Linked DNA regions of Rhinolophus ferrumequinum. The protein of the gene in region 2 interacts with the protein of the main gene of each other region in a pairwise test. Links are inferred from orthologs where the notes say so. Each region holds a gene or a part of one and is shown on either strand. Other genes may lie near its edges.

Region 1 (7,378 bases), on a different chromosome or scaffold from region 2:
ACCGTAGCAAAAAAACAGAGGTTTTCTCCCCAGACAGCTGAAAGCTCTGAAAAAACTTAAACTGTGAGGTTCTATAGTCCTCTTTACTCCCAAAGATCTGCCTCAGAGCGTCCAGGCACTGCTCCACAGTCATGGAGTCATTGTTAGCCAGGAGCATCCTCATGATGGACAGGGCAGGGCCCCGTAGGCTCTCCAGCAAACGGCGCCTCTGTTCTACCATAGACACTTGCCACACCTTCATAATCTCAGTGACGTGCTCTAGCCAGACTTCAAAGTTCTCTTCACCTGAGCCTGGGAAAGTATTTCCCGAAAACACTTTAAGTTTTCGGTACCACATGGTTTCTTTCAGAGGCTGAATAACTGCCAGTTTGAACTGGGAAGAACCCTCTGGCTCCACGCTCTCAGTGACACTGCTATACCCCAGGATTTTGGCCACATCTGCCATTTTCCGGCCCTCATCCTTCAGGAAGTAGTTCAGTCTAGCGATGAAATCGTCATCTGAGTTACGGGGTTTCACCACCACTTCCCAGGCACCTCCCTTTCCTGGTATCTCACTGGGTATCGTAGTGAAATTGACAAAGTCAGCCAATTCAATGAAGATGGCCTTAGCATTGTCTTCCCTTCTGAACATTCTGCCCAGCACCCTGTAGGCGCACAGGGGCTGTAAGCCTGCCTTCACGGTCTCTTTAATTTCCATCTCACTACACTCCACGGGGATCCCCACAATCAGCAAGGCCTTCCTAGGGTCCAGGTCCATCCCCTTGCACCAATCCTCTAACAGTGTCACAGCGGCCATTGCTTCCACTTTCTATGAACTGATCTAATACTAGGGGTAGTAATCTGCTCAGAGTTTGACCACAGCTCAGTGAATTCTGAGCCAATGCCAAGCACAAAGGCAGAAGTGTCCGAGGTTTCCACAGCCTGTAATGCAATTGGGGTGAAAGCATCATTATCGCCAAGTCCCCTCTATCAAGAGCCCCTTCTCTTCCCCCACTTCCACTCACAGGAATTCAGTCCCTGCTTCCCAGGGCTCCCCTAGTCATTTGGTGGAGTATAGACTGTAGAGGGGCCTCCCAGTCCAAGCTCCCCCCACCTCATGCCCTCCCTGCTGACCTCCTCCTGCTGTGGGTTCCTTCTCAAATTCCAAGGACTCTGCTGCAGGTGCTGCAGGTGCCTGTAGTAAAAAGGCCAGCGTCAGGAGGCACGGCCTGATGACTGGGGACACTGAGAAAGCCCTCTAAGCAAGAGAGGACAGAACGTTCCACTCCCTGGCTCAGGGCTGTTCAGGCCTCAGGCACCTGGCACCTCTTTGCCAGGGCAAAGGGAGGAGGAGGGAGATGCAGAGTTCCCCTCTTTCTCAGAAAATGCCCGACAGATGAGAAAGATGGCTGGAGTTCTGCGCAATGCAATGAAACTGGTGGGTGTGGAGAGCCTGTGACAAGCTGCAGTGTTGCCATGGATACTGAGAACAGCGTGGACCATGGGTTTCTATCGCAGACTGGTGTCATGTGGTAAGGTTAAGGCCCTCCAGGAGCAACAGGTGATGTCACTGGCCTCCAACCAATGTAGTGTCCCAGCAACAAGGGGGGGTTCGGGGGAGGGAAGATGGGGGTGGGCAGCAAGGATGGAATGCTAAAAAATCAAGAGCTTATGATTTTAAAATGTGTGGGAGCTGGAATCGGGCAGAAAGGGGACCCAGAAAAGGTCACCAGTGCCACACTTCAGGAGACAGACAGCTCTCTGTCTAGGTATGACCCTACCCTGCAGAGTCTGTACATCTTGGCAGGCAGCCCCTCCCCCTCCTGATCTTTGCCAGGGTTACAGAGGCTCCTCCCAACACAGGCCCTCCTCACCACCACTCACCTTGCTGAGTAGGCCCCTCTGCTGGTGTGGATACAGGGATGCCCCAGGCACTCAACACTCAGTCAACTCTCCAGCTGTCCACAGTCAGGCAGTTCCTGGCCCCAGGGTGTATGGGGGGGGTACTGTTCCACTGGACCTGTCCCCAAGACAAGGCAGAGGTATTTTGATAGGGTTCTGCCCCACGTGCCCCTGCTCAGGCTGTGCCAATTCTAAGTTTGCAGAGCTGGCCACAGGTACCCTGGTGCAGAGATACAAGAAACTTGTCACTGGGGTCCACTGTTATAGCAGGAGGAATCCCACTTTAAGATTATTGTCCCCACCCTCAATTTCATACCCCCACTCATACCCACCTACTGCCAAGTCACACTCCTTTCCAAGGCTTACCCCCACTGTAGCTCAACCTCTGATCCAAGCCCCCCCACCAAGCCCCACTCCTACCCAATCCCAACCCGACACCAAGCCCCGCCCCTCCCCAAGCCCAACCCCTGACGCCAAGCCCCGCCCCCACCCAAGCCCAACCCCTGACACCAAGCTCCACCCCTACAGCTCAATCCAAGCCCTGCCCCCCACCTAAACCCAACTCCTATTCCTATTCTCATTCCCCTAAACTCCCCTCCCCCACACTAAACCCCCTTCCCTAAAACCTCCACCCGTTACACACCCCCTACCTCAAACACCCCCCATTCTGTAGTAGGAATACATCTGGTCAGTTGATGTTGGCGGGGGCCAGGAGAGGAAGGGCTGAAGCCACTTTCCTTCCAGAGCAAGGCCGAGAGCCATTTGTTCTGGATATGCAGACTGCAATGGCTCTGGGCAGGGTTAGGCATGGAATCAGTTCCTCTGCAGTTCCCAGGCTGGTTGCTATGGCCTGTAAATGGCAGGGAGCCCGCGGGGTGCCAAGCCTGATCTAGTAGGATCCCATTTCCAGGGGGCCCCCTGTGATGCCAAGGAAGACGGCAAGGGCCACTGGGGACAACGTCCTGCGGTTTGGGTTGCTCAGGGCCCCACTCCTTACCTACTGGAGATGTCTGCAGGCCAGACGCCAGAAAACCACAGCCACCACGCTTCTGTAGCCCCGGTGCACACTGGGCCAGGAGTTAGGGGGAGGAGGCTATAAAATAAGAAACCCTGGCGCCCCCAACAGGGGCACACGGCCTGCTTGTCCCTGCGCCATCGCAGAATGGTACCCTCCTCCCCCTTCGAAAGGGGGTGCTCCTTGTCTCAGCCCTTGTTCCTCTCCCGATGCACTTGGCGGAGGTGGGGACAGAGAGTTCAAATCAAGCTGCGGGGGAGTGTACATTGCAGTGCAGAGCTGGACTGCTCCGGCCTTGGGTTATCTCCAAAGAGACCACCAGGCCTGCCACGTGGAACGCCAGGCCCAGGAGCCATTGTGGCTCTTGTTACATTGTCTCTTCTGTACTCTACCCGAGCTGTGCGGTAACAATCACCAGTGCCCCTCCTCAAATTTGAAAATTGCAAGTCATCACAGGGCCGGGTGCAAAACTAAAGCCCCAGAGGGTGCTTTCTAAAGAAAAGTCCTGATCCCTGTTTATTTTTTCTTCCGCTGTGTTCTAATGGAGCATGGCAACAATACAGCTGCTCCCTGTATTTCCCAAGGGCATGGAAATTTTTGGAGTTCACCAAGAGACAGAGAAGGATTCAAGGATTCCATTCTCCCATTATTCTCTTGACTTTATGAGCAAGTGGATTTACCCATTACCCACCTAATAGTCAAACTGCTTCCTGCCCTTTTCGAAAGGTTTCTTCCACTCAGGGAACATTTGCCCTGGGGCCTTCAGGACCCAAATGCGCTGTTCAACAATGGGCGTTAGGGGGCTACAGGTAGCACAATGGAAAGTGGTCTTGATAACAATGCATGTTTGCATCAGGAGGATGGGGTGAGTGAGAGTCTGTGTTTCTCGAAAGCTGGGTGACTCCAATGCTACAGATCTCTGACTAGGCTTTGAGTACCAAGGCTCTAAAGCCTGTAATTACTTTTCAGATCCAGAAATTATGCGCCTTTGGTGAAAAAATAGATTTCTTTTCCTTTATTAGGGATACAAGTGAACAGGCTGTCCTATAATGCTTTAATAAAAATATTTAAAGGAAATAAAATTTTAAATGAAAGGTTACTGAGCAACATGTTTGTTCCCCTTCAACGACATTTGTTTGCTATGTCTGAGAAGGCCTCAATAGGCCTTACATAATAAGAACACACTATTAAGAGTCTGTTAACTCTATCTCCCATGCCAAGAAAAGATGGTTACCTGGTGCTGTCAGAGAGTCGACCCCAGGTGGGACATTTTACCTGAGGGTTCTCATCATACCAGATCACTGTGGTTCCATGAAACCACCACTGAGCCACTTGGTATTATAGGTATTACAAGGTATCACAAAGGGTGATAATCATGGAAAGAGGTGTGCTGGCCCTGTGATCCTGGGAGGTTAAGAAATACCCCTGAAAACATACATTATATTAGCTTCAGGTGTACTACATGATGCTTCAATTTTTGTATATATTGCAAAATGATCACCCCAATAAGTCTAGTTAACATCCATCATCACACATAGTTACAATTTTTGTTCTTGTGATGAGAAATTTTAAGATTGACTCTCTTAGCAACTTTCAAATAAGCAATATGGTATTATTAAGTATAGTCACCATGCTGTACATTACATTGCCAGGATTATTTATTTTATATGTATGTTTTTGTGTATGTATGTGTATGTACTATTTCAAAGTGAACTTATTCTGACAAAACTTTATTTTAACAGTAATTATATTTCATATGTAGTATGTCAGCCCTAAAGGTTTCAAGATCTTTAGGTAACTTAAAACCTTATACTAAATTAAGTATATAAGGTATGCAGGATGTGTTTTTGTTAAGGACAACGACTAATTTTGTCCTAAAGTAAAATGACTGGCTGTTCCAGAATGACAAAGACGAAAGCGTAGGACTATGGATGAAAAAAGGGGTCCTATGGAAAGGAACTTCACAGGGTGATGTGATCATAAATTCCTAATTGGACAGGCCATGGTGGGTAGTCAGTCATGCCTTAGGCCTGTAACTTCTTCAGTTTTTTTTTTTTACAAATAAATTTGCATCTCTTTTATTTTCCCAATTATAACTTACTCGCTGACATACCTAATGTTAGGAAATAGGTGTCTGTCTTGAAACTTCTCACTTCATAATTGTCCATGAATTGGCTTATTCAGACCTGATGGAATTTTTTCTTTTTCTTTTTAGTGCCTAAAAGCCAGAGAGAATTAGTCCCAGGGCATTCCAGTCTATTTCCTTACCATGGCATCACTATTAAATGGTGCCGGTATCTGGAAGAAAGAGGTCTCTGCTGAAGAACAATTGTGCCCAAACAGGAATCTAAAAAAACTTCTTTAGTTTTTAAGCAAGCCCTGTCCGTTTTTCTTGTGCATCTAGGTCAACACACCTTTGAAATACCCCCTTTCAGACTCCTCAGAAGCAAAACCACACTCAAGAGAGCACATAATCTTATTTCCTCTCCTGTAATCCAATCTTGGCCTTGCTTCCTCCCACCCCCATGTAATCTTCCTTAGTTCCCTCCTTAATTTCAAATGCATAAAAGAAGCTGCAACATTGTTAGTCTCTGGAGCATTTAAGATCTTTCTTCCTGGCATATGTTGTCAGATTGGCTCAAACAAATTCTTATAAAAATTATCTACAGGTTTGGACATTTTTTATGCCAACAGGACAAAACTTGAATCAAAATGAAAGTTGTAGAAGGTTCGTAGAAAATAAATTTTATTTCTTGTGGTCATAACTGGCTAAAGTTCAATGGGTTTATTTATGAGCTATTTTAAAATGAGCTGTAATATTAAGCAGTACACTGATGCGAAACTAGAATTTGATTTTCCTTGTTAAAATGAGAAAAAAAACTTAGATTATTGGTAGGCTCTTAGTAAGAGGCTGTAAAAGGTTTTGCTTTGCTATATATATGCATTTATATATATTATATATATATAGATAGAATATATATATATATATATATATATATATATATATATATAATACAGCGTATTTCTCCAGGGCCCATCAGCTCCAAGTCGTTGTCCTTCAATCTAGTTTTGGAGGGCACAGCTCAGCTCCAAGTCCAGTCGCCGTTTTCAATCTTTAGTTGCAGGGGGCGCAGCCCACCATCCCATGCGGGAATTGAACCGGCAACCTTGTTGTTGAGAGCTCGCGCTCTAACCAACTGAGCCATCCAGCCACCCCTCTGGAAGCTCAGCAGCAGCTTCTTGTCTTCAATCTAGTTGTGGAGGGCGCAGCTGACTGGCCCATGTGGGAATCGAACTGGCAACCCTGTTGTTCAGAGCTCGTGCTCTAACCAGCTGAGCCATCCAGCCACCCAAGGTTTTGTTTTGTTTTGCTTTGCTTTCTGAGTAATCAGCCTAGAAAGCAAAGATTCTGTGTCTTAGAATAATTTACTGTCCTTCATGTTGACTTTATCATGTCATTAATTGCTTGAGAACCAAACCTTTTCAGTTTTGAAAGAACTAAGGTTCTTTTCAGTTGCGTTACTTCCTATCTTTTCTTTTAAAATGTTTTGTCACTTTGGTTAAATGGAAAGCCAAGGAGTGTTTCTCATTGACACATGATATTATTTAGCCAAGTGTTCAAACCTCCCAACAACTTTGATATTTTGCCTTCCTAAACTCAAATCCTAATTGATGTATTCTTGATCTCGACCTTCTTTGAGGGACCCTGGAAAATCACAGGTGTTAGAAATAATTAGGTTTATTTGATATATTGAATTGCATGGGAGGCTTTGTCAATCAGAAGAGATGCCTAACCCTCCCTAAGTTAAATTCGTGTGGGCAAAATGTTATTAATATAAATATTTCACTATTACATTGTTTTGTACAGCTGAAACTAATTTTAAAAATAAAAATAAAAAAATATTTCAGAAATTGTATGAAGTTCCTAGAGATTTGCCAATACCGTCACTGTCCAGAATATGTCCTGGTTCTGCTTTGCCTGATATTAAACAACAGTATAGCATTATCAATCATAATTCTAGTTATCTTTTAAAATGTTGCATGCCACAAAGTGGCTCCATAGTCATGGATAGTGCCTTGGACTTCTAAAGTGTTGCATGCCACAGAAACAACCAAATTTGTCAATTGCATGATTTTTGTAATGAACTCTCATCAGATCTTTAACCATGGGCATTTTAAGTCATTCACAGATAATTTTTTGTTTTACACTGAATCTTCCCTGAAAGTGCTTGCAATCAACTACAGGCCGGAATGCTTCATCTTCAAGAAAAAGTGACTGTCTCAGATCCCCATGGAAAGGGCTATTCCAGGTGCTCTGGGGGCACAAGCTTCTGATGGCATTGCTTCAATAGCTTTGAGATCCTACCACTGGACTGAGCCAGAATTTCCAGAATTCTAGTGAAGAAGCTGATGGGTTCATGAGACTGTTAACCCAAGACTGAGCAGAACAAGAATTACATAGGGGTTTTGAGCATTCTTATT
Region 2 (7,815 bases):
GGCAGCATAGATTAATATAAGGTAATTTTATGTAACTGAAAACAATGAAAAACAGAAAAAAAATAAAATGAGTCCCATTCTAGATACTAGTCCTATTCTATTTAGAGAGAAAGTGAAATAGCATGTTTAAAGTTTGGCTGTAAAGGGGGAAAGTTTTAATAACTAGGATCTATTCTTTTTACTATGGCTATACTGTAGTAACATCAGTATGTTACTACATACTGATATATTTTATATCAGCATATATTTTATAAATGCTCTTCACCCACTGAAATAAAGCCTAGATGATACTTCTCTTTGATAATAATTTTTTTCCATAATTTTAAGAAAGTGCGGTCACTAAGCATTCATTCATATCACACATCAAGAAGAAACAAAGGAAACCCCTGTGTTCCCAGTATTATTGCCAGGCACCTCACATATTTCATTTCTGGTAATATCGATAAAAATCAGTGATTAAATTTCCTGAAACATCAAAGCTGTCTTCTTTGAATACAACATTCAAGAAAATGAGAAAGAGAAAAGCATAAGAGTTGAATGTCAGCACAGCCTGTTTAAATGTAAAAAGCTTATTTTCAGTATCAGTTTCTCTTTCTATCCCCAAAGGAGAGTGGACCACCTGAGAGAATTGCGATTAGCCTGGATTTGCAGATGTTGGAATTGATGGTTGCCGTTTTCTCACCGCCTCCTTCCTGCACTCTGTTATCCCAACACCCATTCCAAACCATCCTGCTTAATTTAGGCCGGATTGACATTCCTAAAATACCAGTGCAACATAGTGGAAATAGCTCCGGAGCCAGACAGACATTGTTTGAAATCCTGGCTTCAGCACTTACTCTCTCCGCAGCTTTAAATAAATCATTTCATGTTTCTGCATATCAGATTCCTTCATGTGTAAGAGGAAGACACTAGGCAAAACGAAAATTCATTTGATTGCACGACTTTCAAAATTGTACTCATGTATGTAAATTATGTTGCACATAGGAAACATGATCATGTGTTGGCAAGATGACGACAATGGAGGTGATGATTACTAAGGAGGCGGAGGAGGAAAGGGACACAAGACTCCATCTCTTCAGAAATTTACAATCGCCCCCATTGTATCATACAGAGGACAAAATCACTCTGTGCATTTTCAGATGCTCCACGATTTTGTCTGCTCTTTCCATGGAGCTCAATGTCTGCTTCTCACAAAGGGGTGTTTTTTCTGCCTCAATGAGGCAGGGAACCCATCTCTCCTTCTCTGCTCTGTCTTAATTGATGCCTCGACACCCTTTGCTCCAACTACTACAAAGTAGAAGAGTCTTTTTGCTTCCCAGCAACTACCCAAGTTCCACTGATTTTTCATGGCTAAGTTCAGAAAGCCAGACTTTTCTTTCAAGCCTTCTCTAAAATCTTTTTAAAAAGGGAATTTTTGAAGATTTTCACATTATGGCAGAATCCAATTGACCTTGTAATATCAGCATAAGAGGCAGGATACTTCTTCAACTAGAAGTGGCCTGAGATCATTTTCAATTTTAAAGAATTACTGCCATTATGTTTGTGACTCTAATAATTGGATGAAACCCTCGTAAATTGCGAGACCACACCCATAGTGAGGCACCAAGAAGCTCTGTCCCAGTGATCAATCAGTTACTGAATCCAATGAAAACAAATGAAGACTGCAAGACAGAAACCATTACATGATCTGTTATTTCACAAGAAAACTATTTGTAACGTTTTGAATGAAAAGTAATTCATATCAAACATTTCTTTCTAGATATCATTCACATACACACACTGATATTTTAAATTGATATTGCAACATCACACAAAGCATAAATATATTGTATCACTAGCTTTTCGAGATTTCTTTGTAATCTAATGCTTATGTCAAAATATGGATAAAAATGAGAATTCAAGAACATTTAATGTAGACGTGAGGATATTTGACTATAAAATAACAACAAAACATTTAATCAGAAGTCGTAACAACACCCTATCCCACAAAATATCAGCAAAAGGGTGTTTACATGATTTTACAAAGTAGAAAAATTAGTGTTGATGTAAATGAAAATATCAAGAAATAGCGTTGTGTATTTCAATACCATATGTTACTTACATGTTTCTAATTATGTTTTTAAGAACATCTTCCTTATATTTCTATTTAATAGACACCCACTCAACATTCATTTTATAATTTATCTTTGCAGGAAACATAAGCAAATACTGCCCAATGGTTTCCAGAGATCCCTTTTTCTTCAGCTCTATAAGCACTGTCTATAGAGTTAAGCATCCGTTTCCTTTTTATTATGCACAGGATCTCATTATTTTATTCTATGTCCCTATCTCCTTCCCACCACCCAGGTAATTTATATAAAGAAATCAATATTACTGCTAAGTCTGAAGTATGCTTTTCAGTTAACAATGACAGGAATTCAGCATGAAAACAACTCTAAGTACATGAAGCGTAACGTATGAGGGTTTGCATAACAATTTTACTTTGTTTTTACTCTAACAATATAGATTACTTCAAGCACATAACTTATATCCACTTGGAACTACCAAACAAGGTTTTAATACCCACATATCATATTGCTGTCTTAATTTAGAGTGAAATTCTTACCTGAATTTTGTTTAGTATACAGTTTTTTTTAAAAGACAGGAAATGTATGACAAGCTGTCAGGATACATAATGCCAACAGTGGGAAATGGAAGAGGGAGGGAAGAAATCAAATCCACTTTTAGCAGAAACTCCAAATCCCCCTGTTTCCCAGACCTACAGTAGTTTTGTTCTGCATCTTACAAGTAACTGTCCTTCTCTCTGCTCCGAGAACAACACATGCTCTGCCCCAGCAGGAAAATATAAAAATTAAGTAGAAAACCACAAGGTTATTAAGCATCTTACCCTCTGGGCTTGCTGGGCTGTTCTAGCGGCTCAGTGTTACAGACACATGCATAAACAACAGAATTTCCTGCATCCTTTTCTCATCTGTGGAGCTCTGGGGTCCTGGCCAACAGGATTATTTCCAGCATTAAGGCCACTCCACACTAACTCGAACAAGATTCCCATTGGTTGTGAAGTTTTATCAAAACCAATACCACAACACCCTCTGTGGATCACAAGTGAGCTAACCAAAATGAAATCATTTCAGCGTTCCCTAACAAAGTATGGTTAGCCAACATGTTGCATACAACCCATTGGAAACGATGTACTGTGGATAAAAAAGAAAACACCCGCCCCTTCATCCACAAATTTGTTCAGTGTTTAATAACAATAGGCATAGCTTGTAATAGTAATAGAAACAGGAAAATGGCAGAGCAAAAAAAAAACCTAAAAAAGTTTCTATCTGCCACGATCCCAAAATCACAGGAACAAAAGAAAATATCATCGTTTTTATCATGATTTTTTCTATACTGCCCCCCCTAAAAAAGAAAAAAAAAATTTAATGAAACATTTAATAAAACCTCTGATTTCAGTCATGCTGGCAGGATCTGGAAGCTCCACAGCCCCCAGCCAGAGCTGTCTGGCCCCTTTCCTTGGGGGGAAAACACGGACTGACTTCCCAGTGACATGACACAGCTGTCAGGAAGTGTTCTGATGGAGGAGTGATGGTAGACCACATAAAAGACAGCTTCTCTGGTTGAAACGAACAGCACCGAATGCGCAAAGAAGAGAGGACAGAAGAGACACAATCACTACACTCCTTGTTAATAGCATGAGAGCAGCATGTGAAAGTCAGGGAGCTCATGTCTTAAAATTAGTGTATGCCTCCTCCCTTCTCAATTTGGAGGATTATTCTTAGCTGAACAACGTTTGCATCATCTCTTTCGGCTTCACAGCATCCTTTCCTCCTTCCTCTGGAGAGGGAGACCCCTCTGCAGGAGAAAGTGAATCCACTGAGGATTCCTGTCCCCCGTCTTCTCAGGGAATATGATCACCCACCATTCTCTCTCCTTTCTTTGAACTCTCCCTTTTGTCTGGATGTTCCCATGATATTTTAAACACCATAAATTCTTCAATTTCATTTATGTCAATCAATTTCACTTTCAATTCGCTCATTTTCCTTGTAGCAACCATTCTCCCTCCTCTCCAAATTATTCAAAGAGCTCTCTCCAACTAAGCATCCATACTAAGGCCACCTACTCCCTTTAAGGCGGCAACGTGACTGTCTCTGGAAACACACCCGTGCACACACAAACGCACGCACGCACGCACGCACGTGCATATTTTGCACAGCGTCCTCTCAGTCCTCACTCTACTTGCCATCTACACAGCCTCTGATGCTGTTCACAATCCTGCTGACATGAAGATTCTGTTCTCTGATCTGAGCACGACACCCTCCAGGTCTTCCTGCTGATCACTGCCACTGCCTCCCCCGCTCCCTGGGGTGTTGCCTCTCTTCCCTCCAACCCCTGGCGTCTATCAGGTATGCTCTCATGTAAATGTGTTATCTCCCTGGATAATGGCACCCATTATCATGGTTACAATGATCATCTTTCTTGGCTGAGGACTCCAAATTATCAACATTTGGATCCAATCCTCTTCTGAGTCTCCAACACTCATGTGCATCAGCACACTAGAAAATACCACACATATGTCATCAACATACTTAAAACTGAAATCATCGTTTCTCTGTGAACTTGCTGTGTTGTTTATCTGAATAATGCCAACCAGGCTTATGGTTTACTAACAAAAATCCTGGAAGCCTTCCTTGACTCCTTTTCGATTCTGTATCCAACCCAGCATCACTGCCTTTTGATTTTCCTTCAATACTATGCCCAGTTCAGGCAACCGTCATAATCTGGATTTCTATGTCCTCCTAATTTATCCACCTGCCCTCATGCTAGTCCCTCTACATCTTCAGCAAGAGTGACGGTGGTCTGTTTCTAGTACTCATGCAAATTCAGATCTCTGAAGATTTTAACCCCTTATCAAATCTCTTCTTCACAATGTATTTGCCAGAATTCAACGGTTCTGGATTATTTTTTCTGTCTTGTGGACCATGCCATGTACTTACCCCGTCCTTTATTACTTCCCTTTCCTTTCAAGGTGCAATACCAACAAGTAACAATCGCTGGTCCTAGTGTCACCCCACATCCTTTGTCAGGGTGACCCCATGTGTTTTGTGCCTTCTTTTGTCATACGCATTGTTGCAGGTTCAATTGCAAACCCTAAAAAGCCCTGGTGCCTGTGTATGTGACCTTATTTGGAAATAGGGTCTTTGCAGATGTAACCCAGTTAAAATGAAGTCACAGTGAATAAGGGTGGGCTTTAACCCAATGGTTGGTGTCCTCACAAGAAGAGGGAAATTTAGATCCAGAAACACAGAAAAGGACACCGTGGGAAGATATAGGTAGAGATTGGAGTGATACGTATACAAACCAGGGATTGCTGGGAACCACCACAATCCAGGAAGAGGCCAGGAAGGTTTCTCTCTCTTTTAGAGGTTATGGTCCCACTGACCACTTGATTTGGGAGTACTAGTATCCAGAACTGTGAGACAATAAATACCTGTTGTTTTAATCACCAAGTTTGTGGTGATTCGTTATGGAACACTAGCAAATACAGTAATATACATAAAATTCCCAAATATATATGGCCAGCCCAAAACAGTTTATCAAGCTTTGGATCTGTATTTGTAACAGTCTAATGAGAACATTCACAGGGAGCCATTTGAATCATTAATAATCTTCAAAAGCGAAATCTCATATTTCTTCCAAAACCTTTACTTGTATTCTCAACCTTAAGTAGCGATACTACCATCCATCCAGGCTCTCAAGCTAGCAACCTTTTTGTTATTCCTGAGCCCTCACACCTTTTTATCCTTCAAATATAATAGCTTGCTTTTATATGTAGTAAAACCTGAAAGAATTGTCTGTTTCTCTGTCTTCATTTCCTTCCATCTCTTGAACCTACACCAATCAGATTTTTGTTTCACCACATCAATTTTTTACAGGCAAGTGTATAAATCACTGAGCAGGAAAATCGGGATATATATATGGAGAACACTGTCTCAACAGAAGCTTTGCCAAATTAAGGTTCTGTTTCACCCCCACAACCCCACTTTCTTAGGGTCAGAAAGTAGAGTAGGTGTCTTGCTTTGTCCTTGTTGCTAAGTCTGGATCACCAATGCTGTTTACCGACAGTGTGGGACCTACCAGTGTCATGGAAACAAAGCGATCCAGTGTCTCCATCTTAGTTCAGAGTACACTGCCACCATGGTCACTCACTCTCTCTTTCTCTGCCCACCCCCTTTTACACACACACACACACACACACACACACACACACACACACAGGTACAAACCTCTTCATTACCTTAACACTACATATCCCATAACAAGTAATAGGAGCATAAGGAAAAGAGAACAGAAAATTCAGCCTTGGAGTTCTCATAACTTGTTGGCAAGTTGCCAGCATCACAAGGCACTGAACACACATCAATATGGGCTGATTTTTGTGTGCATGTGTGGATTCCAATTTCATTGTACATCTCAAGTTCTCCCTGTGAATTCTACTGTTTGCTAACCTGGAATAATTTCTCTGCCTCCTCCCCACAAAAATAAATTGTATTTTTATTTGGGACAACAATATGACAGTTAAAAAAAAAAAAAGCTTATACTATTATACCAAGACTCCGATGACAAATACACTTAGCTCCATGGCACAGTTTTGCTGGTGATACATAAGTGGAAGCCTAATGAGCATTTGTGGAAAGTTCTGTCTTCCTGATATGGATGCCACCACATTGTTTCACTTTTTTCTTCTTCCTCCTCCTTGAACAAGGCTGGGAGGCTGAAGATAGAGAAGAATTCCTTAACTGATTGTAGGGTCACGATTCAGATGGAAACCACACTGGGAAAGGCAGGAGGAGCCAGGACCATGGTTGCCAGCAGGCTTTTCGTGATGTGAGGAAAAGACAACTTGATCTGGTTACACCACTGTCATCACATTTCTCTTGTGGCCTTACTTATTAGATTGGGACCTACAGGCCAACAGAAAGTTGTAATAGTATCTAACTGCAGAAACAATGGGGAATACATATTAATCAGAACTGATGTTACCCCAGATCCTTTTCCATCGTTCCAGAAGAAACTATGTGAAATTGCAAACTCCCACAGCAAACCTGACCCAGTTTGACAGCTATCTCTCACCATGTCTATGAGGCTTTTCCTGATTCCCACAGAAAGAGTGAATACTACAGCCAAAGGTTATAGCTGTGTACTTATTTACACGTCTGTTTCCTTAACAAACTGAATTTCTTAAGGAGATAATATTGTATCTTTCTTTGAATGTTTTGCAAATAAGCCAAAAAACTAATGGATAAGTGAATAAGGTATAAATGGATAAAGAGATGGATGAATGGCCATTCTATGAAAGCAGTAGAGAAAACAAAATTAATGAGAGCAATCTTGAATTGCACAAATTGCAGAAAAAATAAACTAGAAAGGTATACCTTTAAAACATTGAATGGTGATTTTGACATCTATAGTGATTTTAAAATTTCTACTAATTTTTGTCCTACTTTTATAAATTGAAAAAATTAATAGCACCAATACCACACATGTGTGCCTCACTGACAAAATAAGAAAAACAGAAATACGGACAAAGTAAGACAGACAGATTTTCTGTGGCCTTAACTACTTGAATCAGTTGTACCGTTAAATCTTAATTGCAACAATTTCAATGGCTTTAACAATATTTGGAGAATTATTCTAAAGCAGCATATAACTATTGTAGCCATTACTTTAAAAAGTAGTTATGTAGAACTAACTACAATATCTACAAAATAGCTTAAAAGCATATTTTCATATTCTAAAAATGAAAATTAA
Region 3 (7,259 bases), on a different chromosome or scaffold from region 2:
TAAGGAGTCTGGCTTGGCTGCTCCCTACCTGTTTGTGGTGCCTTTCAGGGGACCCCTTGACAAGGCAGCTGCGGCTGAGGCGGAGGTAGCCCCCCAGAACCAAGATCTCCTCAGCAGTCGGGTACCGCTTCTTCCCAGCCCCAGGGACTGCAGTGTCAGCTGTGGCTGCCGTGGCAGGGGCTGCAGGGGGCACGGACCTCCTGGGGTTGACTGTGAAGGTGTGTCCACTGCGGCGGGGGGCCCCCACCCCTGGCCCTGCCTTCACCCCATAAAACAGGCGGCTCATGAGGGGATCCCCAGGGGACTGGGGAGCAGGTGGGGCTGGGGGTGGGGGAGACAGAGGGGCTGTGGGTGGGGGCCAGAGTTCCACTGCTTCCTCTTCCTGCTGTCTAGAGCCTCTAGTCCCAGCGTCCTCTGGTGGAAGGGGGGAGGGCACAAAACGGAGGTTCTGCAGGGTGCTCAGAGACCTGCCCGGAGCCTCCGCCTCCTCCTTTTCAGCCTCCCCTTCTCCAGCCTTTGCACCAAGAGGCCTCAGGTGCTTCTCAGCAGACTCTGGAGGGTCTGGCCTCTGAGTTTGAGTCTCTGTGTCCCTGGGTGTCCATTCTCGAACCTTCCCAGAGTGCACGGTCCATTTCCACCCTTCTGCCAGCCTCAAGCCCCTCTCACCATCCTCCATGGGGCTGGGCCTCTGCTCTGCGGCCTGCACTCCTCCAGAGCTGGTTTCTGGAGTGCCCCTGGTCAGCGTCTCTGACAGCCCTGGACTCTCTTCTGGGGCCGTCCTTGGAACTGGCCTCTCTTTCCTCCCACATTCCTCTGAGCAGTCTTTTCTTTCTTCTCCTGAGCTCAGCTTCCATTCTGATGTCTCTGGTTGTATCGAACTTTGTTCCTGAGACTCTCTGGAGTCAGGCCTCCATTTATGGGCCTCTGTCAGGTCCAACTTCTGGTTGTCAGACTCTGCTGGGCTCAGTCTACTTTCCACCACCTCTTTTCTCCTGGGGCTTTGTTCTCGAGGCTCTGCCAGTCCCAGATTCCGCTCTGGCGTTTCTCCGGGGCTCAGCCTCCATTTCCGTGCTTCTGACAGCATGGAGATCCTGTCTGCAGCCTCTGCTGGGCCCTGTCCCCACTCCTGAGCTTCTGAAGGCCTGGGGCTCGGTTCCTGGGTTCCCCCTATGCCCAGCCTCCTCTCTCTGGCTTCCCTGGGACTGAGCCGCTCTTCCCTCGACTCTTTTCCCTTGGGGCTTGGATCCCGCATGTTCCCAGGACTGGTTCTCCACTCCCGGGCCTCTAAGGGCCCAGGCCTTCTCTCTGTAAGCTCTTCACTCCGCTGCTGCTGCTGCTGCTGCTGCTGCTGCTGCTGCTGCCGCTCCAGCCGAATGAATCGGTTCTGGTGCACTGGCCCGATGGCCTCCAGCAGGACGGCAGACTTGTCTGGGTCTGGAGGTCCAGCCTCTGCATTCCCAGAGACAGGACTCGATTCCCCAGGAGACAGACCAAGCTTAGCCCGACGGCGTTCCAGGAGCCCCCGCTTCCAGGCTGGCATCTGGGATAGGCGCTCCCGCTCCGCCTTCTCCCTGCCCCGAACTGCTGCCTCCTCCTGCCGGCGCCGGGCTAGCAGCTGTAGTTTCCAGTCCGGGATGGTGGCCATGGTCTCCTGGAGGTGAGGGTGGGGAGCACTGGGGGCAGAGAACAGGAAGGAGAGGCTCCAGACGGCTCAGGGGGTGAGACTGGGGGTGGGGGGGGAGGAAGTGAAGGGGGAAGTGGGACACAGAGAAGGACAGGGGAGCTGAGAGTGAGGACAGAGGGAAAGAAGAAGAGGCAAGAGAGAGAAAGGGGAAAACCAAGAAAAAGCTATGGGCCAAGTTGATGGGGGCGGGGAGGGGGTGAAGCAGAGGAAGAGTGGAGATTCGGAGCAAAGGGGCAGGAGTCAGATTTGGCAGTACAGGGTTAATGGGTGTCAGAGACAGTCCCAAGGATGTAAGAAGAGAAAAGGGCGAGAAAAGAAGTTGGTGTGAGGGAGAAGAGAGAAGAGAGGCAGCGGGTGAGGCGGGACAGGTTCAAGCGAGGTGGCCTCACCGCTACCCCTGGGGGCAGTGAGAGTGGGGAGGGAGGTCAGGGAATCCCGCCGGTGAGGGGGCAACCGGACCCGAGTGGGTGTCGGGGAGGTGAGGAGGGACGGTGAGTGGGGAGGTCTAGGGGAGCAGGGGAAACGGGGTTCAGAGGGGAAAGGGAGCTCCGCGGGTGCACCCTCGCGCGTCTTGGCGCGGGCCCCCGAAATCCGGGCTCCCCTTCCAGTTGTGCTTGGGCTCCGCCTCCCGGCTCCCCCACCTCTCCGCCCCAGGGCGGGCCAGGGGAAATACCCTCCCCCGGGGACTTTCTGAACCCGGGCGCCGGGTCTGCCAGCGCGTTCCCAGAGCCCTAACGTCCACCCCCACCCCGGCGCGTCACCACTGCCTGCCTCTCCCACCGGCTTTGCCCCGGACCCAGGAGCGCGGCGGACCAGCTCAACGCCTCTTCTCTCCTGAGCCTTCGCGTCCTGAGCCAGGGTCTCGGCTCTCATGGAACCATGACATTGCCAGCCATCCCTGCCCAGCTCTAGTCGCATGGACAGACAATCTCAGCACAAAGAGGAATCAGCCCAAGGTCCGGACCAGGGACCGGAGCGGAGAGACAGCCCCTCACCAAGTCCGAAGCGCCTCTGTCAACTCACACGCAGCGGGGCTCCCAGGGGAGGGGGTGCGGAGAAGCCTGGCGTCCGGAGAGAGGCGAGAGGAAGAGGAGGAGAGAGGGATCGAGGGAGATCCGGAGACAGGAGGGAGGGGAAGAGGGGGAGGAGGAGGAGTGAAAGAGGGAGCCGAGGAGGAGGGACGGAGACAGAAACCTGGGGGCCGGGCGGGGGGCGGTGACCGCTTTGTCTGAGGACAATGGGGAGAGGGAAGGGGGCGCGGGGCGGAGCCCGAGGAGGGGGCGGGGCCTCGCTCCCACCGGCCCTCCGTGGGACTCGGATCCCGGCTCCCCTTTTCCCGCCGCCACCCCTGGCTCTCAGCTCTCGGTCCCCAGGGTCCCTCACCCCGCTTACGTCCGGTAGCCCTGGAGAACCCAGGTGTCCAGACACCCACCCCCAGACCGCCGACCCAGGGCGGCGGCCCGTGACTCAGGCCCCTCGAGGGACTTGGGGAGGAAGCAGCAGCTGCTCGGAGCGGGGCCCGCCCTTCCCATCTCTTGCCGCTCCTCCCCACACTTTGGCCTCCCGGGCCCGCCTTTGTTGCTACGGGGTCCCGGGCCGCCGCCAGGCAGTGGGGGGCCGGTGGGGAGGAGAGGCGCTCGGAGGCCAATAGCTTTGGAAGCTCGTTTTCCTGCCGGAGACGCTGCCCCCTCTTTTATGCTTTCGTCTCCCATGGGTCCCAAGGTCTGCTTCGGGGAAATTGGGGAATGTGGAGGAAGCGGGACTAGGATGCTCCGGGAAGGTGGGGGTGGGTCCACGGGAGTGGCCGCCGCCCTTGGCTGCCCAGACTAGACTTTGACGCTCCCAGGCTCAGGACTCGCTTCCTTCCCAAACTCAGCCCTGCAAGTTTGAGACTGACAAAATGCGCACTATGTGTAGAAAAACCCAGCTGAAATTTATTTTCCTCCATTGCGTGTTCCTCGGGTGAACAGGGGGGCCCTTAGTCACCCGAAATTTTGAGCAGGAGAGTCCTCCCTAGTAGGTTCAAGTACAGAACCCGGGGGCGGGGCCTAAGGAGGTGGAGAGGCCAGCCAGTGGGGATCCTGGAGGGACAGCCACTATTCAAACTTGCAGCTCCTAGGAGGGGAAGTGAGACTTGGAGATGATCCTGGAAGTGCAGAGGCAGTAACTGTGCCAGGGGAGTAGTCAGGCTGGACTCTTCTCCTTTTGAGGTTGGTGAGGGGGATGTCAAGCCCCCCCAATCTGTGAGGAGACCAGTAAGTTCCCCACCCTTCTCCCTTGCTGGTGAGAAGTGCACCTTGGAGTCCAGTGGCTGAGACTCAGAATTTAAGGTATGGAGATGGACCCAGGGACGGGAGTGGACAGGACAGGTCCTCCTTCAGTCCACAGATTTAAGCCTCTAGTCTAAAGCAGCCAGGGCCTGGATATCAAGGAATTTGAATTCTGAGGGGGGGAGGAAGTACACGGCTTGGAACCAGAGTTAGCTCCTCATTTGGCCTCCCCGTCCTGGGGCCGGGAGAGCAGGTGGAGCTTTCTTTGCAGCTGGGCCCGGAGGTAGCGGAGGTCTTGCTGGTCAAGTCCGTGAGCCAGGCCCAGGTACAGAGTAAGGAGGAGAGCCAGGAGGAAGCGGTCAGTGCCGAGGGTGGGCACCACCCATAGCACTGTCAGCAGCTCCACACAAACTGGATGGCGCAGGTGGGAGAAGAGTCTCAAAGCCCGGGGAGACTTGAGGGCCAGAGGCTCGCCCAGCCCCAGCACATGGTAGTACACCTAGGAGAGAGAGAACAGCTTAGAAACGGAGTCAAGCCCTTTTTGAAACTTAGCCACCTTTTCCTCCCCTTCCAGGCACCCTCCTGCTATAACTCAGGCCCAGGGACCGCTCTTCTGAGTCCTGTGCCCCTGACCCTCATCTCTGGGCCACAAACTTTCCACAGGCCCAGGAGGCCCATGGTTTTTAGCCTTTGAGGGAGGGCTGAGGGGAGACTATCTTATAAGAAAGGGAGGTAAGGGAGCTGAAAGCAAGAGGAAGGTAGAACAGCATGAGAGGAAGAGAGGGGGGAAATCCTTGGAAAGGAAAGAGGCATTCTAGAAAGGATCAGAGGTCTCAAGTCGGGATCTGGCAACCTCACCTGTTTGAGGCCCATGAGCTCGGCGTAGTCAAAGACGAGAAGGATGCTGAAGATGAGGAGCCAGGAAATGACGTGGAGCACAAAGCACAGGAGGGGCACCCAGGTGGCCCATGGCTCAGCCCGAGCTGCCCACAACACGGGGCCTCTGGGAACAGGCTCCCAGTATCGCATCACCAGCTGGGGAAGGATGAGGGGCTAGGTGACCCAGCAGCCCATCCTTGAGAGACCAGGACTGAGAAGCTGCCTCACCCCCGGCTGGCCTGCCGCTCTCCCCACCTTTTACCATGAGCATCACTAAGAAACAGTCACCATGTGGAGGGTGCTGGGTGGGGCCCCAAGTTTGTAAGATGACCTGTCTCTACCAGAAGGACTTACAGAACGGATGGGGGTGACTAGAGAGGTGCACAAAATAGCCTATGCCAGGTACCCACTGAGAAGACAGATGAGTGCCCAGTGGGAAGACTTCCCTTGGTTTAGAAGAAAGGGTAGGGCGGAAGAGGGGTCAAGGAGAGGACCTTAAACTCAGACAAAGTTGCAGAGGTGAGAATGCACATGGCACAGTTGGGGAATGAGAAGCAGTACATCCTTCTTGATTCAAAAATAGGGTCTGTGCTGTGGAGGAATGGAAGCTGAGATTAGTCTTGAATACCCTCAGTTCTCCTCCAAAATGCTTCCACATTTTATCAGAAGCCAAAGGTCCTTGTCCCTGCCATTTAGATCATCATTCCCAGACTGTTTCCCTTGGGGACTCAGTGCCAGGGCCTCATACCTGCAAGGCCAGGGCAGTGCATGCCACGTACAGTGACCTCTGAAGGACCCCAAAGTACCGGGACATCCACGCCTTCACTGTCTCAGTCGCCATGAGGCTGTGCTGCCCCACAAATAGTAGCAGGAGCCCCAGATCCCAAGCCAGGGGGGCAAGAATGCTTCTGTCCTGCAAGGCAGCCAGCCATCCCTGGCGGGCATCTAGGGGGAGTTGGAGAAAGAGACAAAAGAACAAGATGGTGGGAAACACCCCTTACCTTCACTTCCTCTTGGGGCCCCAGGCCAGGTCCCTTAATGCTTTCAAGAGCCTTACTGTTTCCTCTTTACGCTTTGCCCACCTCACTTTCCCATTCCCCGTTCCTTCCCTCTTTCCCAGGCCTCCTTCAGAGCTGGGGAAGATGATTCTGCTGAGTAGTCACAACGGCATGCAAGAAGCCACCCTTGGATTGCGCTTTATTTCGCTTCTCCAAAGCGCCTTTTTTTTTAACACTCTCTTCTCCATAGTCTTCTCTACACAGCACTTTCCTCAGCATACTCTGTTTATCGCCCTTTCCCTCCGCCTCAGTCCTCACTGTCCCGCGTCTCCAAACCGCTAATCCCTGAGTCCCTAATTTAGCCCGCAGGCCTCTCCTGTAGTTTCTCTAGGCTTTCTCGGTTACAGTTCCCTCTCCCGGACTTCCCCTGTCATTCGTCTACAAGCCCCGCCCCCGCTCCCTCTCCTCCGGCCCCACCTCCCTACTCCAGAGCTCATCCTCCAGCCCTCCCGCTCACCCGGACCACCAGACTCCGGCAGCCCTCCAAGAAGTGGCCGAAGGGAGGTAAAACGCACGAACTCCACTCCGGTGCCAAAGGCCAAGATGAAAGAGGCGAGAGCGGCAGGGACCAGGAGCAGAGCAGAGGCCATGGCGAGAGACTGAGGGGTGGGGAAGGGGGCGGGCTTGGGGTTCCCGCGGCCGCAGGCTCCGCCTCCCGTCTGGGATCCTGCCCAGGAGGGCGGGCTCCTGCGTGCTCACGCCCAGGCTACCCGCCCGCTGCGCGCTGCTTCTGCCACCCGCGGCAGGGCCGAGGCCCGGGTGCCTGTCCCCAGCCTGTCCTCTCCGCGTCACAGAGGGAATGTTAGAATCCCAAGTGAGAGGGGAAGGGACACTGGCTCTGCAGCCACTCACGTGAATTGAAACCCACCTCGGCTGGTTTACCCATCTAAAATACAGTTCCTCTCTTGCTGGGTTCTTGGAAACGGCGGTAGAAACCCCCTTTCTTTAACAGCCCCGGCTGGAAAACATAGCCAGAGTTAGAGGTTCTAAAGCCTCAGCGAACACATAATGAACGGCGAGACAACGGCTGAGAACCCAAAGCTCTGAGTCACTTATTACATCTTGTTAGATTGAAAAATGAGCGACTGTTTTACCACAAAATAATGCTTATTCTGTAACTTATGAAAAAGTTGGGTTATTGTTTCTCCACTTGCTAAGAAGGGCAGAGAACTTCTCTGTAACACTAAAAGATTTGTTCTAATAATGCCAAAGGCTGTTGATTTGTAACTATGAGAATAAAAATGTGAAAATATTTGTGGTAGAAAGCTTTACGTATTACAGTTGTAAGCCCTGGCAGTAGGCTACTTTTACCCAAGCTTGGAATTATCTATGAATTTATTATCTATGACTTTACAACCTCATCAGCTG
Region 4 (7,173 bases), on a different chromosome or scaffold from region 2:
TCCAACCTGTCAATTGACTGTTTTGGCAGCAGAAAGGCTAATAAAGCAGCATTAGGGCCCATGGTTACTTTAAGGGTTACTGGTGATAGGCTGAGTTCAGAAAGACATGCGGACAAGGATTCCTGGCACACAGTAGGTGCTCAATAACTGATTGAAAAACACAAAACAATTGCAACAGAATCAGAAATGTTCTGCAAACCGCACAGTGTCACACAAACATCGGCCACCACTATTATCCCTAAGCTGGGTCTTAAAAGATAAGTTAACATCTGACAGAAACTAACAGAAGTAGAGGCAACGTTTATTTCAAGTTAGAAGTACCCACAGGAGCAAGTGTAGTAAGGTGCACCCAGCCCACATGTTCAGACAGGGTAAGGCACTGGTCCACAATCAGAGACGATTTGCCTCCAGGGGACATTTGGCAATGTCTGGAGACATTTTTGGTGGTCACACATTGGGAGAGGATGCTATGGGCCTCTAGTGGGGACAGGCCAGGGATGCTGCTACACATCCTACAATACACAGGACAGTCCCCACAACAAGGAATTAACATGGTCAAGATGCCAACAGAGTCAAGGTTGAGAAACTCTGGGGTAGGGCAGGGAAGCCAAGTTCAAAATGAGGTTTTGGAGGAACAGACAGTGAGCAGACCTTAGAGGGCCTGCTATGCTCAGGGGACAGACTTTATTATCTACGTCTGTATTCCCTGATATGTGACCGTCAGGCCAGACTCAGACTGCTCCACTGTGCCGCTCACACATCCAGACTCGGGGGTGAGGGGGTGGATCCTAAGAGCTGTATGTTTTCCAAGCTCCCAGCTGATTCTCTGGCACATTCAAATTCATGATGGCTTTGAGACGTGTAAAGAAGTTAGACCTGACAGGATATGGGAGAGCTGAGCAGAGAGACCTGTTAGGAAGGACTGGAAAATGCCCCCAACAGCAAGCAAGTCAAGGAGGATCTGACCGACGGTAGAAGGAACTCAAAAAGATGATCTACTGAAGAGACGCTCATCTCCTACCATTCTTCCACCAAATCCCTCCACTCCAACCGTGTCAGCCTCCTTGTTTTCTAGAATAGTCATGGCTTGTTTCCTTCTCAGAGCCTTTGCACCTGCTGTTTCTCTGCCTGGAATGATCTCCCACCAATATCCACGACGTTTCCGCCCTTTTTCTTCAGATCTGTTCAAAGATCGTTTTATCAACAATGTCTTCCTTAAATATCCTAATATAAAATAGTAAGTCTCCATCCTTTACCTTGTTTTAATTTTCTCATAACACTCAACAACACCTAAGCATGGTTTGTTTTTGTCTGCTTTTCCCCAACTAAAATGTAAGAACCATGAGATCTTACCAGGGACTTTTGTCTATTTTGTTCACTGCTGTATCCTTAGTACCTTAAATCGTGCATTACACACTCCAAATGTCTAATAAATACTTAGTGAAAGAATAAAACAAATGAATGGACGTTAGGGACAAGAACTAATAGGATTTAGGTGAGCGGGAGGGCAGAAATAAAGTGCAGTACTCAAGCATGGACTCCAGCATTACAGAGGTTGGTTTCAGGACTACCGCTTGCTAAATGGCTGATCTTGGGCCAACAACAAGCCTCTCTGTGGCTGTCTTTTCATTAGTAAAATGAGAGAAATGAGTAATAGAACCTATCTCCTAGGCATGGATGGAAGAAAGCATTTGGCACTGGGCCTGATAAGCAGTCAGAGCTGAACAAACGTTAAGCTCTGGGTGGCACTGGTTTGGTGACCAGCTGAAGGAGGGAAAGATAGTTTTAGGTGGCCCTGCCGTTTCTTGTAAAGGGACTGGAAGTGGGGAAGAAGTCATTACACAGGCAAGGAAAGGGTAGGTGTGGGAGTGAAAAGGACCAAGGTAGGAACTGTGATTCAGCCACAGAGGTGGCCTAGGACAGGGGTACAATGTGTGGACTCCAGGGCCGTACTCTACTCACAAATCCCCATTCTTTCACTTACAAGCCATGTGGCCTCAGACAAGTTTACTTGCAGCCCTCTGTGCTTCAGTGTTCTCATCTTCAAAATGAGGATAACAATACTTACCTCCTAAGGCAATTGCGGGGCATAAATGAATCCGTTTACATAAACCACTCAGCACAATGTTTGGCATATAGCGAGTACTATGTAAGTGTAACCATTATGACAACATGGTAGTTAAGACCGTGGTTTTTGGTACAAGAGGGCCTGAAATGGATTTCTGGATACTATTAACTGGGTGACCTTGGGAAAGTTACAGCAAAATCTCTGTGCCTCCATTCTCTTCCGAAATTAAAATGACCATCACATCAGTGTGACACAACACAAGCTCAGGCAAAGTAATTTCTAGGCTCTCTGCGCTCCACCCTCCGCCTCTGCCTCCCCTTCCTAGCCCACAAGCACTGAGACCCGCTGAGAAACGTCCAAGCGAAAAGCGCCAGGCAAAAGTAATACACTGCCGACTCGACCATTACTGGCGAATTCCGCACCCCCACCCCCACCCCCATCCAAATGCCCACGTTCCACTCAAAAGACGCGAGCTACCATTCCGGCGTCCTCTGCGCCAAACCGGAAAACCCGCCAGTAGAGGCCCAGAGAGCCCGGGGGAGGAGCCGGGAAGAGGCGGGGCCTAGCGGCGACGTCGCGGCAGCCACGGAGATGCTAGCGTTTGCACCCGCGCCCCCTCACCAGTAGCAGCTGTTGTAGACACAGGCATCCCTTGGAGGGCTGGCCGGCTGGTAGCTGGCGGCTGCGGCGTCGGGGACATCCCCCTCCATGGTGGCTTGGGCCAGGGCACGGGCCTGAAGCGCGCCAACTGGTCCAGCCCCCCAGGCGCGCTTTGGGGACGAAGCTGGCGTGCAGCAGCCCGCACAGGCTCTCGAAGCGGAGTGGGCGGAGCCGGGGCAGCTGGTGCAGTTCCCGAGTGGTGGAGCCTGGCACGAGCACGCGGAATCTGGGCGGGGCGAGCGGCTCAGGTTCTTGGAGCTCTGGGTCCACAAGAGCGGGGCAAGTTCCGGTGGGTGGAGCTAGGGGCTGAAAGAGCGGGCCCAGGACGGCCCTGTGCAGGCGGAGCTGGTTCCGGTGGGCGGTGCCTGGGCGGGACGCGCAGGGCTAGTTACGGGAGGGTGGAGCCAGGGCAAAGTGGGCGGGTCTGGGGTTGGGTGAGCGGCTTAAGTTTCCCGCGGACTGAACTCCGGCGAGGACCGCGCGATTCCGGTAGAGGGGGCCGGGACCGGTGGAGCCAGGGCGGGGCGGTGCTGGCGGCGCGGGTTCCAGGTGGGGCGGGGCCGGGAGTGCTGGGGACGGCGGTACTAGCGAGGAGCCAGTCAGGTGGGGGAAAAGAGAGGTCACTAGCCGGCGACCTGAAAAGTCAAGGAAGAACGTCAAGTTGGTAAACCGCCGGACCCTGAACGGCGCCTCGTGACTCTCCAGGAGGAGGCTGAGACCCTTCTTCCAACGCGTGGTCGGGTTGCCAGCTGTGGAAGCACCAAATGAGATGTAGAAGACTCGACGTGTGCGAGTGAAATAAGAGACTTGTGTGTGAAAAATGAAGCTTCAGCACTTTGAGCCTAGTGCCCGCAGGATCCAGGGGGAATAAAGGGGGGGGGGGTGAGTTAAGTCCAAATACGTCTGCATCAAGGATGGTTTTAGCGAAAGGTATCACCCTAAAATCTCACCGTATTGTAACATTTTTAAAAAATAGAGAATTGTATATATTGGCTAAGAAAGATCTATGGATTCTTTGATATAGTAAGTAAAAAAAAAAGTTTAAAAAGAATCCACATGGTACCCATTGTGTTAGTCATGTTTATTTTGTTGCCAGCCTGGAAGGAAAGACACCAAATGGTTGAAATTGTTTATCTCTGGTGAATGAATGATAACGGAGGATTTTCACTTGATGCTTTATAGTCCTCTGAATTGTCTGTTATTTGCAAAGGGCATATATAGCTGATCAGGGTACTTTCCATTATCAAAACTGAAATTCTTGGTGTATAGGCGATCTATAGTCAGATTTGCCCAACTCGTGAATTCTAAAACCCCAAAATCCTAAAGACTGAGCATAAGTCCTTGGGTCAGTTGTCAATTTATTGCCTCTCAGCTCTGAATACACACTTCAGTATAGGCTCTAGACAAATAATTCCCTTAAGCATTTCTCCTTTAATGAGAGAATGGTGGTAAGCCTTCTCATTAAATCGTGTCGCAGGAAGAAGACTCCAGTTGCTGGGATGGTACAAAAGTTTGGAGTGGTCATGAGAATCATCATCCAGTGAGGTCTGCCCCAGCCACAGATCCTACTGGTCCCTCTGTGACTTTGCAACTTTAGCTTAACAATAACCTTTCTGCAGCCCTCTTGACACAAACCAGAGGCCAGGGAGGCCTGCAGGCAACTGCCTCCCATACTCCTTCAGCAAGCACTTCATGGCCTGCACAGTTACCTGTGGCTGGGGGGCTCACACACTGAGCATTCCGTCAATCGTCTTGGAGTCTCCCCTACTTCCCTAAGCCCCTCTATCCTTCCCCCACCACCACCCCAATGCATTCTGAAGGCCTTCTGCCCCTGCTGGCTCCCAGACTCCCAAGGCATCCCCGCATTGGTTGGTGATTGCTCCCTTCTACCACTTCTACCTTGCTTAAGGAAGTTGAATGTCAAGAACTATGATAAAAGTGTAACTATAAGATACAAGGAAACTTTCCATGGTACTTAGAGGGAAGAGTACTCAAGAAGAACAAATTTGAAAGGGGTTTGGACCTCATTGGACATGGTGTGGGTTGGTTACCAGATAGCAGAGGAGTTCACTGGTTTACCCAGGATGGGGGTGATCTGGAGTTGCTGGGAAAACAACAGAGAAAGGGTAGAGGAGAGCCAGCAGTCTCTGCCATAATGTGCTTTATGCTTTAAATTTTCTCTTATAAGAAGGAACTAGTTTTTAAATTGAAAAAAAAAAATAGATCGTATTTTAAAAACTCATATGATTTCATAGTAGAGACTATAAAAAGAGATATGGTCTCAGAGGAGTAGAGGTGCTTAGAACGAGATTCTAACCTACGGACTCCAATGAGGAAGAAATAAGAGATGCACTCCAAGAAGCCAATACCCAATGAAATCAAGATGTTAAAGGGCAAGGGTTTGGAGGAGGGACACATAAAGGAAAATATAAAAAATGCCCACAGATATGCAAGAGGAGTATCAGGAAGTCTACAGCACATAATACACAGGCTTACTAACAAACAGAGGTTTTATTTTTTATTGGGGGGGCGGTATTTGTAATGCTCAATACTAAGAACTACAAGAAAAAGGAAGAGAGAATCCCATTGCTTGGGATCATATGACATGATGTGTGATAAAACAACTGAAAGAAAACAAATAGCCAGTGACTGTTTTGCTCTATCAAAGAAAATGGACCTCGAGCTGTAAAGAATAAGGAAAATAGCAGTAAGAGGAAATTAAAGTCAAGGTAAGTACAGTGATAGGAAGCACTAAGTTGCCTTAAATGGGTTAAAAAAAAATCTTCAGATCCAGATAATTATATCCCAGCATCTGCAAGTGCTTTAGATTATGACCAAAGCCTTTCTTACGGATCTTTGAGAAAATACATTGGAGGAGGTGACCTGAGACTAAATATGAATACTTGCTGTCTTGAGTCACGTAAAAGGAAAGAATATGTGTTTCAGACACTAGACGCTAGTGAACTTGATGCCTATTGTGACCATGAAGAAAGGTGATTATTTAGGGGCCTTCAGTGGTTTACCAAAGTCTATTTCATGCCAAATGGACCTCACTTCAAGTTGTTGAAAGAATTAATTGATCGTTAGGATTATAGCACTAACAATAAAATTTGATTCCAGCAAAGCAGCTGGCCCAGTTTTATTAGTCATCACTCGTTACTTGTTCAGTTAAAAGTCAAGGCAGAAAGGCTATTTATTAGCTCATTTAACAGGACACTAAAGTAACTCTCACCGTCAAGGATGAGCTGCAGAAACCAGGGTCTCAAGGGATCAGGAGCAGAACTCACCTCCCAGGCCTTGTTTCTTCCTGTCTCAGTCTGCTCCTCAGTGTTTGGCTTCATTCTCAGGTCACTTCACTTCTTGCTGTGGGAGGATGGCTGCTGGCAGCCCCATATTCATATTTTCCAGGCGTGGCAATCCCAGTGGAAAGAAAACTTTTTCCTCATAGCAATCACACAGAGTGACTTGTACCTTTATTTTGTACATTTCTGTACTGCTGGAATTTTTCTCATTTTTAAGAATAAAAATTTTTTCTTATAGCAACATTAATATAAAGAGCTGTGGGGGCAGCCAACTGGTTCAGTTGGTTAGTGCGCAGTGCTCATACCACCAAAGTCGCCAGTTCGATTCCCACATGGGCCAGTGAGCTGTGCCCTCCACCAGATTGAAAACAACTTGATTTGGAGCTGAGCTGCGACTGAAAACAACTTGACTTGGAGCTGATGGGTCCTGGAAAAACACAGTGTTCCCCAATATTCCCCAATTAAAAAAAAGGAAAAAATATAAAGAGCTGTGTGGACAAACTGTTGCTCACTTAACTTTTTCCCTACTATTGTACAGTAGTTTGTTTTCAGATCCTAGCATTGTAAATAAAGCTGCAATCATCATCTTTATACATAAATCTTGGTCCATGACTGCTTATTATGTTAGGATGGAGTGCTAGAAGTAGAATTCCTGAGCCAAAGTTTTTAAATATTTTCCAGGTCTCTTGATACATGTTGTTATGTTGCTTTTAAGAAATGGGCCTATACTTCAACATCACATTGAGTATTATGGTTAAATATATATATATATATATATATATATATATATATGTCAGAAAACTGTCATTCCCATTGTTATTTTAATTTCCATTTATTTGATTACTACTTACCTATATTAAATGGGATAATTTCAGTATAAAGCACTAAGTGCTATGGCAGCAATGTACTATGGGAGTTCTGGGTGGAGAGCACCTCACCATTGGGAAAGGGGTATTGGGCTGGGTTGGAACACAATACAGTTATTACTCATCTTACTTAGAATGGGGTAGGAGGGAGGCAGTACTCCCAGAGCCCTCTGCATGGACCAGCCCATGCGTGTGGTATTAGGGAAGGCTGATAAAGCAGGAAAGTCTGAAAAGCACATCATAAAACCATGACATATCTTCCCCTCTCATTTTCTGT

Evidence for each region.
Region 1: the proteins of CCDC102B (region 2) and PNMA5 interact in binary tests that used the Homo sapiens proteins (3 or more experiments, as listed by UniProt). The two-hybrid records come from large-scale screens. The link is inferred for Rhinolophus ferrumequinum from reciprocal best matches to the Homo sapiens genes CCDC102B and PNMA5.
Region 3: the proteins of CCDC102B (region 2) and PPP1R18 interact in binary tests that used the Homo sapiens proteins (3 or more experiments, as listed by UniProt). The two-hybrid records come from large-scale screens. The link is inferred for Rhinolophus ferrumequinum from reciprocal best matches to the Homo sapiens genes CCDC102B and PPP1R18.
Region 4: the proteins of CCDC102B (region 2) and NTAQ1 interact in binary tests that used the Homo sapiens proteins (3 or more experiments, as listed by UniProt). The two-hybrid records come from large-scale screens. The link is inferred for Rhinolophus ferrumequinum from reciprocal best matches to the Homo sapiens genes CCDC102B and NTAQ1.

Annotation. Positions count from the first base shown.
Region 1 is NC_046284.1:7,195,732-7,203,109, forward strand, and holds the start of PNMA5 (paraneoplastic antigen-like protein 5), read right to left. Parts: upstream 3,013-7,378; 5' UTR 2,879-3,012; intron 2,225-2,878; exon of another isoform or gene 2,214-2,224; intron 2,000-2,213; 5' UTR 1,864-1,999; intron 1,400-1,863; exon of another isoform or gene 1,175-1,399; 5' UTR 1,114-1,174; intron 922-1,113; 5' UTR 797-921; coding exon 1-796.
Region 2 is NC_046302.1:53,807,442-53,815,256, reverse strand, and holds the start of CCDC102B (coiled-coil domain-containing protein 102B), read right to left. Parts: upstream 3,007-7,815; 5' UTR 2,888-3,006; intron 1-2,887. UniProt on the Homo sapiens protein: During interphase, forms fibers at the proximal ends of centrioles to maintain centrosome cohesion. During mitosis, dissociates from the centrosome following phosphorylation to allow centrosome separation. Contributes to CROCC/rootletin filament formation.
Region 3 is NC_046286.1:1,291,044-1,298,302, forward strand, and holds the start of PPP1R18 (phostensin), read right to left. Parts: upstream 3,018-7,259; 5' UTR 2,680-3,017; intron 1,784-2,679; 5' UTR 1,646-1,783; coding exon 29-1,645; intron 1-28. Other genes in the region: NRM (nurim), read right to left, coding at 4,172-4,453, 4,813-4,989, 5,582-5,778, 6,349-6,481.
Region 4 is NC_046297.1:60,733,261-60,740,433, reverse strand, and holds the start of NTAQ1 (protein N-terminal glutamine amidohydrolase), read right to left. Parts: upstream 3,016-7,173; 5' UTR 2,779-3,015; coding exon 2,690-2,778; intron 2,683-2,689; exon of another isoform or gene 2,546-2,682; intron 1-2,545. UniProt on the Homo sapiens protein: Mediates the side-chain deamidation of N-terminal glutamine residues to glutamate, an important step in N-end rule pathway of protein degradation.